Notamacropus eugenii: one gene and its partner. The protein of the gene in region 2 purifies or fractionates together with the protein of the main gene of each other region. This does not show direct contact. Links are inferred from orthologs where the notes say so. Each region holds a gene or a part of one and is shown on either strand. Other genes may lie near its edges.

The links.
Region 1: the proteins of NOLC1 (region 2) and NOP58 fractionate together in Homo sapiens (co-fractionation; 3 studies listed by BioGRID, with this or other methods). This does not show direct contact. The link is inferred for Notamacropus eugenii from reciprocal best matches to the Homo sapiens genes NOLC1 and NOP58.

The regions. Positions count from the first base shown.
Region 1 is NC_092877.1:298,578,218-298,586,034, reverse strand, and holds the start of NOP58 (nucleolar protein 58), read right to left. Parts: upstream 3,032-7,817; 5' UTR 2,758-3,031; coding exon 2,713-2,757; intron 93-2,712; coding exon 16-92; intron 1-15. UniProt on the Homo sapiens protein: Required for the biogenesis of box C/D snoRNAs such as U3, U8 and U14 snoRNAs. Part of the small subunit (SSU) processome, first precursor of the small eukaryotic ribosomal subunit.
Region 2 is NC_092872.1:180,291,054-180,299,114, reverse strand, and holds the start of NOLC1 (nucleolar and coiled-body phosphoprotein 1), read right to left. Parts: upstream 3,232-8,061; 5' UTR 3,051-3,231; coding exon 2,931-3,050; intron 1,417-2,930; coding exon 1,361-1,416; intron 1,269-1,360; coding exon 1,138-1,268; intron 991-1,137; coding exon 857-990; intron 641-856; coding exon 409-640; intron 1-408. UniProt on the Homo sapiens protein: Nucleolar protein that acts as a regulator of RNA polymerase I by connecting RNA polymerase I with enzymes responsible for ribosomal processing and modification.

The DNA of each region.
Region 1 (7,817 bases), on a different chromosome or scaffold from region 2:
ATTAAGAACACTTACATTTTATTTGCTTTCTCTGGAGTTTCGAATTCTTTCCACAAACTGTCCACCTCTTGTAATTTCTTCTCATTTAGAACCTAGAATAAAGATCAGTTAAATTGATTTTTAAAAAATGCTACAGCAAAGGTTTCTGTTATATGTTCATGTTGTCCCCTTAAATAAATATGTAAGGGTAACAGAAAGCTACTTCCCTCTTCTATAAATGCATATGGGACTAGTCACATTTCTTCTCTACATGGTCCTATTTTTCAAGTAAATTAACTAATATTTATTATGTACCCCTATTCCAAAGCCTTCCTTCATTTCTCATTCTGAAGCCCCATGATGGAGGTGACACCAGGTCACTGAAGGCCAAGTGGAAACTATAGCAGGTTCTTCCAAGATGTAAAAGCTTCAAATGTAAACTCAATGACACACTGACTGTTATCTGCTGTCCCATCAGACTAGACTCAGAGAGGCACATCACAGTTGGCCACAAGTCTTGACCATGTACTAAATTATAGGAGAGGTTATCCACCCTGAAGAAATCACAGATCCTTGGAGGTGCTGAAGTGCAAAATCCAAAGAACTCAAATCACTTTACAAATTTTCTCTTAATAAGAAAAAGAAAATTACACACAGCAAGTACTCAGGAAATATTTGTTGAATGAATGATATAAGATGTTACTGAACCCCACTGAGATGTTTAAAGTAGTTGTGACCAGAGTTTGTACCAAGCAAACTGTACCCTTTCACCCCATTTTCTTCTGTAGAGGGCACTATTTTTTGGGCCTAGCTAAGGCCAAAGGTAGAATAGAGAGATCTAAAAGGTTAGAATAGAGCCTAACCCTCTCATTTTACAGATGAGGAAACTGAGGCCCCAAAAGATTTTAAGTAATTTGTCTAAGGTCACAAGCAGTAAGCACCAGATACAGAACCTGAACCCAGGATGAGATCAGCCATAAGTGCTAAAGGGAGGTCACACCTAAACTGTCTGGTCAACAACAAAGACCATTCATCAAGGAGAAAGATTCCCTTACTCTTGCCTACTTTGCCCTTCTCCCTCCCTCACTTCTATACTCTACTAAAATACTGCCCTCCCCCCCATCTTGGAACAGAAGACCAACAACATATAGTGTCCAAAAGTCTTAAGATGAAAAACTAAAGGCCATAACTAAATTTTCTTCTTACAGTTACCCAAATAACAGCTCCACGCCCTCTTGCCCTAAGCAATTTATTTTTTTTAGAGGCGAGGAAAGGAGGGTATTGGTTAGTGCAGTTGAGGGTGGGTACTAGGTAGGACTTTAAAAGGTGGTTATCCTTCATTCCCAAAAGGACCAAATGACTTCACTATGTTAGAGTCAAGCCACAATGTCACAAGGGTGCCTGATCAGACCAATAGTTCAGAATGCTCTACCACAGGTCAGATACAAGTAGTGTATGTGAACATTTCGGGTGGATTTTCTACATTTGAGAATCTCCTGTTTCTTTTGAGATACTTCAAACTAGATACAAGCCAAGATGAAAACGGATGCATGTGACAGTGCTGATGCGTGACTTTTGGTTTCCAGATGAGTGAGCTCTCAAGGCAGCTTCTGAAGATGAGATGCAACGAAGTGTGGATTGTTTCTCTGCTGCCTGTGGTCATTTGGCCTCACTACTCTTCAAATGTACCAAATAACGGTTCTTCCCGATAAGTCCAGTTATATAGATAGCACACTTGAATTTTAAAAATTATCCGGTAATTTAATTCCAACCTATTTTTTAAGCAACCCGTACTCAACCAATCTCATTTTAATAAAGAAGTTAGTGACTTGGCAACGTAAACGTTCACTTTGCGATCTAGTTTATCCCTTCCACTCCATCTAGTCCATTAACACTATGAGCTCCTACTAGGTGCCAAAAATGCTGGGGATACAAAGACAGGCAGAAACAGTCTCTGTCCTCCAGCTCACAATCTAATGGAATTAACCCCAGGGCTTAGTAAAGTTCCTGGCACGTGGAAAGTGTTTAATGTGGCCCACTCAGCAAGACTTGAATTCTAACCCGGCCTCAGATACTTATGAACTATGTGACCCTGGGCAAGTCACTTAATCACTGTCTGCCTCAGTTTCCTTATAATAACGGTGAGGAATGAAGGCAGTCCTCCTCAATAATAATAGCTACCTCCCAGGGGTGCTGTCAGGACCAAACGAGATACCCGTACAGCGCTTAGCACGCAGTAGGAGCTATATAAATATTGATTATTATCATCGTTATTTGTGGAATCCTCCCAACGCAGGTGCCACCTCTTTCTGTTTCTTAGGGAAACGAGATTTTTTTTTCTCCTCTGGGCCTCCCTCCGCTTTGCACCGATCCCTTCCTGGTTTAACCAGTCCCTGATCACACCGGGCGGTCCCGTGCTCGGTCGTGGGGCTGCACACAGCAGGCCCAGGCTTCAGGTGGGGCAGCTGCCCGCACGCGGCACGGCCCAGGCGGGAGGCCCCCCACAGTCGCCGGGGCCTTCGGCTCTGGCGGACCAGGGCCAGTCTCCACAGCTCCACGAGGGCGGCCGATCCCTTCCCTTCCCCCGCTCCGCCCCGCGCAGGCCCGGCCCGGGGCTCCGCAGCCTCCCTGGGGCCACGTGCTCGGGGAGCGGCTCCCCCGCTCGCTCCACGCGCCCGAGGGCCAGGCCCGGCCCCGCCGCTGCTCCCACAGCACCTCCTGTCTGCGGCCTACCTTGAAGATGGCGTAGCCGGCCGCCGTCTCAAACAGCACCAACATGGCGAGGCTGCAGTGAGAGAGGCCGGGCAGCCCCCCGCGCGCGCCCAACCAACGGGGAAGCTGGGGAAGCGGGGGAGCGGCGCGGCGGCCTCTCGGGAGCCCCTTAAGTCAGCGCTCCGGGCCGGCCGGGGGCATCAGAGAACTCCCGGCGGGCGCAACGCGCGAAAACTTCAGACCAACCACGAACCCAGCACACGTGGGCTCATGGGAAAGTAAGGGCGGGGAAGGAGCGGAGACCGGATGAAGGCTTCTGGGATGCGGCTCAGCACTTCCGGGAGGGGAGGTGCACGCGCATGCGCGCACAGGGAAAGACAGAAGGCTAGCCAGTGACTCCTGGTTCCCAGCGCGGGTCGGAGCGAACGTGCTCCTCCCCCAAGCCCAGTTTTGGGAAATGACTGGTTAGAGTCTCGTATTGACTGGAGGTTGAGAATAAGAATAAAAAAACTGAACAATTAAAGCGGGACGCCTGGCCCGCAGGATGCGCTCCTACTGGTAAAGTAAAGAAATCTTAAAATGGAGAAGCAGAGCTGGAACGTGGTCTCTCGTTCGTGACTTGTGATTTTTGTGGTTTTGACCGATTGCCCGGAGATCTCTACACGAAAAATATGTTCGTACTAAATATTTTGTGCATATAGAGGCACTGTATTTACCTATTATGTAATTACATAACAATTTGTGCAGTGTTATATAATATATGATACATGTCATAGAACAATTGTCACATACTGCTGTACTAGATGTGTAAAATATAGACAGATATGTCTGTGGTCTATAGACATCCGTGTGTCATACCCCTGCTATACTAATACAGACATGTATTATAGTATGTAGTATATCTGATAAGTGTAAAATATCTGTATGCCGGAACTGCAAGCATTTCACTCGCAGAGAGACTGCGGTAAAATAGAAAAAGCCATTCTAATGGGGGAGACAACATGTAAACAGGGAGGCACATTGAAATTATATAGAGAGCATGTGGGAGGTAATATCAGAGGGAAAGGCACTACTCTCTGGGAAGGAAGGGTGGAGGGAAAAGTCTCTTGCAGAAGGTCAGATTTCAGCTGAAACTTGAAGGAATTCAGGAACATTAAGTGGTTGGGGGAGACTAAAATGAAAGACATCTAGTGTAAAAACATTGAGATAGGAGATTTGAGTGGTGCATGCCCAAGAAGTCTGTTCATGAAGGGTATAAAGATAGTAAGGAAACAGGTTCTGTACACCTTTAAATGCCAAACAGAACACTTTACATTTGATCCTGGAGATAATAGGGAGCCACTAGAGTTTATTGTATGTAACATGATAAGAGCTACACTTTAGGAAAATCACTTTGGCAGTTAAGTGGAGGATGGGTTGGAATGGGGAGAGACTTAAGGCAGGAAGACCAATTGAAAGACTTTTGGAACCTTTCACTCTGAATAACTCATCACTACCTCTACTAGACTTTCTCATAGAAGGGACAGACCCAACCCCAGCCCAGGTACTTCTACAGTGCCCCTACAATAGAAACTATGAACTCTCCTCATCTTCCACCCACTACTAACCATATGGCTTGTCCTTTTTCAGTCTTTATCCTTGTAATAATTAGTGGCCATTTCCAAGAAAATTGTCCCTTATCCCTTCCTCATGCTCTTTCATTCACACAGTTCTCAATCCGACCCTACTCATATCTTAATCCAACCCTTCCCACCCCTTCCTCTGGAATTCCTATTTAATACTGAACAAATTCTCCTTCCTGCACTTCTTTTCTTGTATGTTTTCCATCTTTAAAGCCCTTGTTAAGACCTGGCTCCTTTCTGAGACACTTCAGCTCTGATTATCCTCTCCGGCACTGATTGTACTTCCTCTCTCTCTCTCTCTCTCTCTCTCTCTCTCTCTCTCTCTCTCTCTCTCAACACACACATACTCAGTGGTTTGGAGGAAGAGTCAGAATATTCCTTGCTTCCCATTTTCACTTTCATACTTTCCCTCTATCTCCTTCACTCAGTAACCTGCCCTCTTTGGAAATCTACACAATTAAAATTTTCTACGCCATCAAAATTTTGATAACTGTAGTATACTGCCTCTCTAGTTATTCCATTGTACTTTTTCAAGGAGATCAACCCCAGGCTGACATCTTCACTTCTTCTCCAGCTCCTTTTCCTATACTTGGATACTTTAATATTCTTTAATATACTTTAATATTCATGTAGATGTGCATTTAAACTTCCTAATCTCCCATTTCCTTGAATTCTCTAAGTCCCATGACCTATTCTTTCATACCATTTAGCCACAAATGATATGCACTAGCTCTTGCCATTATTCACAAGGGTTCTATTTCTCTAATTAGAAACTCTCTCTCTGTCTGACCATAATTTTCTATCATTCCATTTCTCCTGCTTTTTCCCTCTTACATATATTCTTTGCTGTCATGAACATTTCCATTCACTCTACCCTTCGGTACTTTCTCAGATCATGATCTCTGATTTGACTTCATTCCCTTCCCTCTTCATTCTCAACCCCAAAATCAGCCATTTAAACTCTACCGTGTTCTTTGCTTTTGAAGCCCTTGTCCCTGTGTCCTACTCATTTTTCATCAAATTTCAGCATTGGATTAGTTTCACCATTTATTTCCTCCACTTCTCAAGAGCTTTCTTGCCTGGGTCCATTACAGATTCATGTCATTCATCCTCAAATGGGCCCTTGCTGCATTAAGGTAGTCCTTTTATTCCTCTCTAATGGATTCCTCATTCCTCCTAAAAGCTATTGCAACATTTTCTTCCCTCCTACAATTCTTCACACCTCCTCTTCTTTCTCAAGCTGAAGACCTTGTCTCTGATATTACTAAAAATACTGCAGCTATTCAGTATGAGCTCCCTCTTCTCCCATTTTCTTAATTTCAAAACCCTTTGACATCCTCATTTCCCCTTGATGAAGGCCAACCCTTCTACATGTGCACTTGATGCCAATTTTTTTCCCTAACGGATTACATTGTCAATAACTTGTTCCCCTTTCAGATCTTTAACATCTCTATCAACTGGTTCCTTTCTTACTGCCCTTCAAATATGTCCAAATCTCTTCTATCCTTAGAAAATCTTCATTAGACACTACCTTCCCCTTATATTATTCTGTATCTCTTTCCCTTTCTTAGATTCCTTGCAACACCTATCTACACTTGCTGCCTCCATTTTCACTCCTCTCACTCTTCAATCGTTTGCAATCTTATTTCTGACATTACTTAATCTGAAACTACTTTCTCAAAAGTTAGCAGGCATCTCCTGTAATGGAGTTTGGAGCATGCCCATAGTTTCTCAGATGGCATTTCCACACGAAGGACAATAGGGAAAACAAGCCATCTCGTAATAAGAATTGTCATGAAGTATAAGGGAATCTCCTATTCTTGGGTAGCTCATTTACTGGTAAAGGAAGTAGAGCCTATGATCTTGTGAGCTCAAAAGGTGTAGAGAGCTTCTCACATCTTATCTTTCTGGAGTTTGGGTTTGCAACTAGCAAACCATCTGTTCCGTAAGGAGCAAGGCCCAGTGGTGGCTCAGATACCCAAAATTAACACAATACTCCCAGTGAGATCTAGTGAGAAGAGAGTACAGAGAAGCTACAACCTCCTTATTCCTGGAAGCTATGCCTGTTTTAATGTAGCCCATGATCGCATTAGTTTTTTGGCTGCTACATCATACTATTGCCTAATAAATAACCTTACAAAGTCCTCTGAAATGCGTAGATTTTTGTTTTCAGACAGACTACTGTCTAATTATAACTTTTCTCTCTTGTGAAGCCAATTTTTGTTTCCTAGTACAGTTTACATTTATCCCTCTAACCAAAGTCTCAGCAGAGTGAACATGTGACTTTCTTGATACATGTATACAACTTCACCAAGAGTGAGAAGTTTGGGTATGAGCCATGCCTGTCTATTATTAACTTTTGGTTTGGAATCTCTGAAGAAGGAGATACTGCAGGAACTCACAATCAGTACATCTCTCAGCTGAGAAAGAAGCTAAAGGAAGCTTACCACCTAGCTAAGATTTCAAGCCAGAAAAATGCTCAAATAAATAATTAAATGTATGATGCCCAAGTTTATTGTTGAGACTTTCAACATGGTGACAGTTTTACTATGAAATTTTGATGTTCATTGGACACACAAGTTACATCAATGGAAACTCACTCCATACCTAGTTTTGAAGAGACTGGCCAGCTTACCTGTTTACAAAATAGTCCCAGAGCTTGGGGGAGGTGGGGGTGGGGGTGGGGTCCTGTAAAGATAGTCTAATACAATTACTTATTGCTAATAGATGAATTGGTTGAACTTTGTGAGGAGCAAGTTGAGAATGATAAATATTTATTACATTGGAATCTAAGTGAAAGATGCCACCTTCCAGTCCTGCAAAGATAATAGTTCATAATTGTATTTCAAGCGAAGACGCTTTGTATGCTATATTCCAACAACTAGTTCAAATAATGGGGGGGAATGAACCCAGAGATAATACCTTTTTTCCCTAGTACTTTTGCTATATAGATTTCTAGGTACAGATTTTTCTTTTGTAACATTACTTACCAGTTTGAGATCTCTATGAATTCAGATTTAGGAAGGCAGGACCCCTAGATTTGATTATAATTATGATTAGTCCATACCAACAGCTAGCACTGGAGTAGGGCAGATAGGTCAGTAGGTCTCAAGAGAGTGAATGTCCAATAAATCCTTTATACAGCCTTCCTGGTAACTCCACTTTCCTCAACTGCTTTGCTTGACTTCAACTCCATGGAATAATATGGAGTTTTGCTTTGTACTTCCTGGCCACCCTGAACCCCATTTTTCAGTTTTCTTTTGTGTATGGTCTCTTTAAGTCCTAAATCCCTACAGATTATACACATTGTAAGCTCCTTTATCGAATATCCCTTTTTTTCTATGAGAATAGTCATCGCTAGTTTCCCTTCCCACCACAGAAGAAAGATTTTTTCCCTTTCTTCTTTTCCAGTCTTTACATTTTTGCCTCCTTGCCTAAATTTCCTGTAGGCTTTCTTTTTACTGAGAGACTATTGGAGTTAGTTTCCCTTCATTGTTATTTTTT
Region 2 (8,061 bases):
CAAACATTTTGCCAGGAAAGTTAGTTTCTCCATTTAATTCTGCCCATCCCCAAAAAGCAAGAACAGAAATGTCACTATCCCTAAGGCTTTAGGTGGTAAGAGTAAATTAAGAATCATTCAAATATCTCTTTAATCATTCTGATTAAAGATCTGCCCAAGTTTATAACATGTTCTCCTGCCCCATCCCCATTTTAGGAGTAAGAGAAGTAATACAAAAGTTTTTCTCTTCAGTGACTACATAATGCCTTCAAAAGAACCCCTGGTGACAGCCAAGTGGCTTATCAGAGGAGAAATGTGAGCATATATTGTGGGGGAGGGACAATTCTAAGACCCCAGATCACAAAACGGCCAAGTCTCTTGCCACTCCTTTTGCTAAAGAAAAATCCTTACTTGAAGAAAGAAAAGTACCTGGCTTAGCAGGAGTCTTGACTGGAGTCTTAGCTGTGGCCTTGACTGAAGTCTTAACTGGAGTCTTAACTGGGGTCTTAACTGGAGTCTTTGTTTTCTGTTTCTTCGTAGCTTCGTCCTCTGAGCTGGAGTCGGAGTCAGAGTCGGAGTCAGAGCTGGAGCTTTCAGCTTTCTTAGGCTGAGCTGCCTTGGGGGAAGGCTTGACTGCCTTGGCTGGGGGCTTGGCTCCCTTCTGTTAGGAGAAGGAACAAGTGTTCAGCAAAAGGCTTTGGGGTGTCCAGACAAGGGCGCCCTAAAACAGAACAACATGGAGAATCCTCTTCCCACCAGCCTGACCCCACCCAGAACAAGTTCAGTTTGGAAAGATTTCCTTTCTAATGGCATCTCTGAATCAAGCAGACACAGATTTCTGCCCCTAGTTCCTCTCCTGAAACCCATATATTTCAACCTGGGCAGACTTCTTCTGGCTTCCAGTGTCTTCTTCCTCACTGGAGTCCTCACTGCTACTACTACTACTCTCTGCTGCTTTGGCAGGAATGGTTGACTTCAAAGGCTGAGTGGATGTACCAGGTGGCTTGGTGGCTGGGGAAGAATATGGAATTGGTGAGAATTAGGCCTCTGGACAAGGGGAGTATTCCCAAGCGAGCAAGAAGAACCTTCATGTGCTTTAGCTAGAAATCAAACACATGGAAAGAACACCCCCTCCACTCCCAAAAATTCATCCCTCACCTAATTTTTTGGTTGGAGGCTGTTTGGCCTCTCCTTTATGACTGCTGTCGCCAGAAGCAGTGGATTTCTTAGCTTTCTTTGCTACTGGTCCGTTAGCCTGCAACTTGCGCTTCTGAGCTTTGGAAGACCTACTGGGTGAAGAAAAGGCAAAATGAACTTTGAGAAGGGGCTGGCCTATGAGACACCAAGGAAGAGAGAGCCGAAGGGTGCAGAAGGGACTTACTTGAGCCAGAAACTATAGATGTCCAAAAGGGAAGTGGCATTGGGGTCCTGTTGGGCCTGCAAGGACGGAAAGAGGTAGAGCTGATATCCCTAAAATGCTGGAATTTTTGCAGTCACATCCACAAAGTTCTATTAAGTTAGTCTACTCTTACAACCTGGGCTTTTTTTGATCCCAACATGTTTTTAGCTAGTCTTCCCAGCCTCATATCATCTGCAAACCCGAAGCATGCTACAATGTTTTCATACATATAAATTAAAATTACTGAACACTTACTAAGTACCTACCATGTTCAAGCTGCTAAGGATATAACAACAAAGAAGATACAGACTCTGCTTTGTAAGGAACTCACAATACATTTTGATACAAGGAATTGTATAATAGGAACAAAAGAAGGGTCCAGGCAAAATTATAACTATATTAAAAGCTTCAATTAATTGACAGTTACAAAGGGGCAGACCCAAGGAAAGCTCCACTGCAGCATGGCATCTAAGCTAGGCCTTGAAGGGAGAATGTGAACAAAGCCACTGAAACAGGAAACAGCAAGAAAATGGGGGATGGAGAACAATCCAAGCTGGCTGGGACGTAGAATAACAAGTCACATTTATATTGTGCTTAAAGTTAACAAAGCACCTTCCCTACACCCTATGAGGTAGTAAGCTCAAGTATTGCCTTTTACAATAGAAAAAACAAGCTCAGAAAAGTTGAGTAACTTGTCCATAGCCACAAGTCAGAGGCAAGACATAAACTTGTAACTCAAAACTCAGCATCTTTTCTTCTGTTGCACATTCTGGGATTGCAAATCAAGAGCAATTATTATGAAGCACAAATTTCTACAAATCTTATAAACTTTAAGCCTGGTCCACCAGAAAAATATGCATGATTTCTTCTTGCTGGGGGGTGGAGGGTGAATACAGTGGGAAAGAGAGAAAATACAGTGGTGGGTCCTTGGTAGAGTCAGATAATTCAAATGCACTGAAAAGATTATTCAAGGAGAAAGTGGAAGATTCCAGGTGGAAACACGACTTAGAATGGTGTATCACTGATCAGGGTGAAACATCAACCTGAAGTATTTATTATGTACTAACTATGTGCCAGACAGAAGGCTGGGGACACAGGCACAAAAATGGAGCAGCCCCTCACTTCAAGGAGCGCACGTGCTAAGTGACTGGCTGCAGTGGAAGTGGAAAGGTCGGCGTGTAAAAGCTGTAACTGATAAAAAAACACACGAACCAGAACCGAGCCGGGGTCGTCCCCCTTAGCTGCCCCTGGAGCATCATATGGATCTGACTCTTCTTAAGGGCTCCCCTCCCCCACCGCCTCCACAAACTAAGACCCATACTGACCGGTCCTGCAGCCTTGCCTCGATTTACCAGGAGAGGCTTCTGTGACCACCAGAGCGGGCATTAAGCCCATGACCCCAACGCCAGGTGCCAGGGATCGCCCTACCCGGGCCCCCCTTTCCCGGGGCCCACGAGGGCCCCCTCCCCCCTAGGCCCGGGGGACCACGTGCTTTCCTCTCCCCTCGCCCGGTGCTCAGATCGCCCTCCTCCCCGAGCGCGGGGGGACTCACGGTGCCCGTGGCCTTAGCGAATTTGCTTGCCGCCTCCGGAAACTGGTTGTCGCGCAGGAAACCGAGCACGAGAGGGAACAAGTCGCTGGGCACCACGCGTAACACCTCTTGCTCCGCCATCCTCCAGGTCCGAATGCGTCACCGGCGCGACTCAGGGCTGCACGTCGCGCATGATGACATCACTCCGGCATGGTGAGGGTGAAGGGAACCGGATGTGGCGTCACGGCCAAGCGCCGGAAAAGGCGGGGACTCGGGCCCGCCCGCCCACTCCTAGAAACCTTCCTTTCCCTTTCCCTTTCCCTTCCCTCCCACCCCGGGTCCCACCCCGGATATCTCGGGAAAGAAAAAGTCCGGTCGAACCACTCCGCGGGTCTCGTCTGGTGGGTGAAGGCGGGGCAGGGGCGTCGTGGCTCCGCCCATTCCTGCCGCTTTGGCGGGAAAGCTCCACTCCGGCCCCCGCCTCCGGTTTGCCGGGGCTGGGGCGGGGCGGAGCGGGCCTGTCTTACTGCTGGTTTAGCCAACAACGATTTGGGTCCTTTCGAGCCACAGCTGCTTAAGCTCCCCAGGCCTCCTTTTCCTCCATTGCAAAATGAGGGGGTGGGGCTTCAGGGGCCGGGGGCTCCTTTGGGGGCAGCCGTCCTCCCTGCACCCCCAAACTGAGGGGCGAGGTGTGTACGAGCAAGGCCCCCTGGGGTCCGTGAGAAGAGCCGCCCCCCCCCCAATGCTTCCCGCACTGGGCCCCGCGCATCCCGAGTCCCAGCTGACTTGGCTGGCTGCTCTTGGGAGATCCGGCGGTTCACGGGCCTTTAAAAAAAAAGCCTGTTTTTCAGTTGCAAATGACAAATTAAATTGAAAATATATGGTCATGCAAAACAAATTCTCCTGTTACTCTGGAGAGAGAGGGGACAGAAATAATAGCTACCATGTAGCACTTGATGTTCCACCCGTCCCTCCCAAGCCTACCAGACAGGCACCATTATCATCTCCGTTTTAAAGATGAGACTGAGGCAGCCAGGTGAAGTGTCTGGCCTGGGGCACACACGAGGGGGTTGTCGGCTTTATTCCCAGCACTCTACACCGCCCAGTCTCCAGGTTCGGGGGGTACATGGCTTTTTCATCCCCAGGCCTTCGCAATTTTGGCTGCTCGTTGTGTTCGTCAGAATTCCTACGTCTTTCAAAGCTGATTTTTATAATCCTGCTATTATCGCCTTCCTTTTTCTCCTCGTTCTGCTCACTTTACTTCCCTTCCGTTCACGCGAGCCTCTGCTGGTTCCTCTGAAACCTTCCCCTTCATCGTTTCTTGCTGCCCAAGGTTATATTCCATCACGCTCACACCCCATAACTTGTTGGCCGTTCCCCAGTGGAGAGGCGTCAGCTCAGTTTCCAGTTACTGGTCACTACAAAAAGAGCTACTACAAGTAGTTTTGTACGTATGGGTCCGTTTCCTCTTTCTTTTTGACCTCCTTGGACCTAGTATCAGTAACTTTGAGTCAAAGAGTATAAATAGGTTAATAGTTTTGGAACATAGTTCTGACCTGCCTTCCAGAAAGGTCAGACCAGTTCTGAGTTGGATCAGCCTAGACAATCTGATGGGTGTGAAGTGAAACCTCAGAGTTCTTTGAATTTGCATTTCTCTAATTACTAGTGATTTAGAATACCTTTTCGTGACCATTAATAGCTTGTATTTTTTCTTCTGAAAACTGCCTGTTTGTATTCTTTGACCATTTATCAGTCGGGGAATGGCTCTTATTCTTATAAATTTGAATCAGTTCCATATGTATCTTAGAAATAAAACCTTTATCAGACAAACATGCTACAAAGATTTCTCAGTTTCCTGCTTCTCTTCTTGTTTTTAGCAGCATTAGTTTTATTTGTGCAAAAACCTTATTTTAAAAAATCAAAATTGTCCATTTTGCCTTCTGTCAACCTCTCTATCCCACTGGGTCATCAACTCTTCAATCAATCAATCAATATTGGTTAAGTGCCTAATATGTGCCAGGGACTCTGCTAAGTGCTAGGGATACTAAAAGAAGCAAAAGACTCCCTGCCCTCAAGGAGTTTCCAATCTAACGGAGACAACATGCAAACAAACATATGCAAAGCAAACCATATACATGGTAAATAAAATAATAATTAACAGAAGAAAAGGCACTGTGAGTAAGAGGAAGGCTTCCTGTAGAAGGTGGGGTTTTAGCTGAGACCTAAATGAAGCCAGTAGTCAAAAGCTGGAGCAGAGAAAGGGCAGTGTTCCAAGCATAAGGGACAGCCAGAGAAAATGTGTGGAACCCAAAGATGGGAGTGTCTTGTTTGTGGAACAGTCAGGAAACCAGTGTCACTGAATTGAAAAGTCTGTGTCAAGGAGTAAGGTGTAACAAGACTGGAAAGGTAGGAGGGGGGCTAGGTTAGGAAGGGCTTTGAATTTGCTCCTGGAGGAAATAGGGAGCCACTGAAGATCATTGAGTAGGGGGCTGATATGACCAGACTTTCATTTTATGAAAATCACTTTAGTGGTTGAGTGGAGAGTGGATTGGAGTGGGGGGAGACTTGAAGCAGGCAGAGCCACCAGCAGGCTAATGCAGTCATCAAGGGTGAGATTATGAGAGTCCACACCAGGGTGGTAGCAGTGTCAGAGGAGAAAAGGGGGCATATATTAGAGAAGTTGCAAAGGTGACATCGACAAGCTTTGGGAACTGTTTGGATATGAGGGAATAAGAGATAGTGAGGAATCCAGGATGAATCTTAGGTTATGAGCCTGACAGACTGGGTAAATAGTGGCTTCCTCTATTCTAAAAGGGAAGTTGGGGAGGGAGGTTTAAGAGGAAAGATAGTAAGTTCTGTTATGGACATAGTGAGTTTAAAATGTTAACTGATATCTAGTTTGAGATGTCAGAAAGGCGATTGGAAATGGAAAATTGATTACAGGTCAACAGAGAGTTTGGGGCATGACAGGGAGATGTAAGAATCAGCAGAGATGGTAATTAAATCCATAGGAACTAATGAGATCACCAAGTGAAGAGAGAGAAAAGGGCATAGGAGGGAACCCTGAGGGACATCCACAGTTAGAGGATGTGACCTGGAGGAGGATCCAAGAAAAGCAGAGACAGGAAGAAAACCTATCCACAGATGACAGATAACTTTTTCCATGATCCACTAATTTGCTTACGATGTCATCATTTATGTCTAAATCATGTACTTATTTTGAGTTTATCTTGGTAAATAGCATATTTGTCTATACCTAGTTTTTGCCATACTACTTTCCACTTTTCCCAGCAACTTTTGTCAGTTCTTGCCCTAATAGCTGGGATCTTTGGGTTTATCAAACACTGGATTACCGTGCTCCTCTGCTTCTGTATATTAGGTATCTAATCTGTTCCACTGAACAGATTTCTTGTTCAGTCATTTGTCAAACCCAACTCTTCATAATCCCATGCGGGCTTTACTTGGCAAAGATACTGAAGTGGTTTGCCATTTTCTTCTCCAGCTCATTTTATAGAAGACTGTGCCCAACAGGGTTAAATGGACGAGTGCCCAGGATCACATACCTATTAAGTGTCCGAGGCTGGATTTGAACTCAAGATGAGTCTTACTGATTTTAGGTCAGGCACTCTATCCATTTTGTCACCAAACTGTTTTAGCGATTAGAGCTTTGTAGCATAGTTTGAAATTTGATACTGCTGCCCCTCCCCCTTATTTTTTTCATTAATTCCCTTGACATCAACATTTTGTCCTTCTAGAGGAATTTTGTTATTTTTTCTAATTCTATAAAATAACTCTTTGGTAGTCTGATTGGGATGGCACTGGAAAAGTAAAGTGATTTAGGTAATATTGTAATTTTTTTTTGGCCTATCCACGAGTAATTAATATTTCTCTAATTATTTAAATGTCTTAACCTGTGCTAAGTGTTTTGTAATTGTGTTCATGTAGGGTACCAGGGTGTGTCTTGGCAAGTAGACTCCCAAATATTTTATAGTTCTTTTAAATAGAATTTCTCTATCTCTTCCTGCTGTATTTTGCTGGTTATATACAGAAATACTGATGATTTGTGCAGGTGTACTCTATATCCTATTTCTTTGCTGAAGTTGTTCCAATAAGTTTTTTAGTTGACTCTCTGTCACTATATCACTCTACCCACGCAGCTGCAAAAAGTGAGTTTTGTTTGATCTTTACCTGCACTTATTCCTTCCATTTCTTTTTCTTGTCAATGCTACAGCTAGCATTTTTAGTACAATATTGAATAGTAATATTGATGATGGACATCCTTGGTTCAACTCTGATATTACTGAAAGGGTTTCTAACTTACTCTCTTTACAGATAATGCTGACTTCTTGGTTTTAGATAGATACTATTTATTATTTTAGGAAAGGCTCTACTGGGATAGCTAGGTGGCCCAATGGATGGACAGCACTGGCCCTAGAGTCAGGAGGACCTGAGTTTAGATCCAGCCTTAGATAAAACACTAGCTGTGTGACCCTGGGCAAGTCACTTAACCCCAATTGCCTCACCAAAAAAAATAAATAAAAGACTCCACTTATTCCTACACTTTCTAGCTGTTTTTTAAAAGAGGAATAGGTGTTGTATTTTGTCAAAAGCTTTTTCTGCATCAATTAGAATGATTTTTGTTGGTTATTAATATGGTCAGTTATGGTTACAGCTATCCTAACCAGTTCTGTCTTTCTGGTAAATATCTAGCTTAACTATAGTGTATGATTTTTGTGGGATATATTGCTATAGTCTTACTAATATTTTATTTAAAATTTTGCATTAATATTCATTAGGGAAAGTGGTCTTTAGTTTTCTTCTTTGGCATTTCCTCCTTTAGGTATCAAGACCATATTTTTGCCGTGAAAGTAACTTGGTAGTACCCCTTCTTTACCTATTTTTAAAATTTTTATTTATTTATTCTGTTACATTTTAAGTTCCAAACTGTCTCCATCCCTCCCTCCTCCCCACCCAACACTAGAGAAGGCCACCATTTGACATACACACTTGTGCACATGTACACACACACACACACACACACACACACACACACACACACAACACACACACAAGTGAATGTAAAACCATACCATGCTTACTTCTACTTATCAGTTTTTTCTCTGGAGGTGTACATAGTATCTTCCTTCATAGG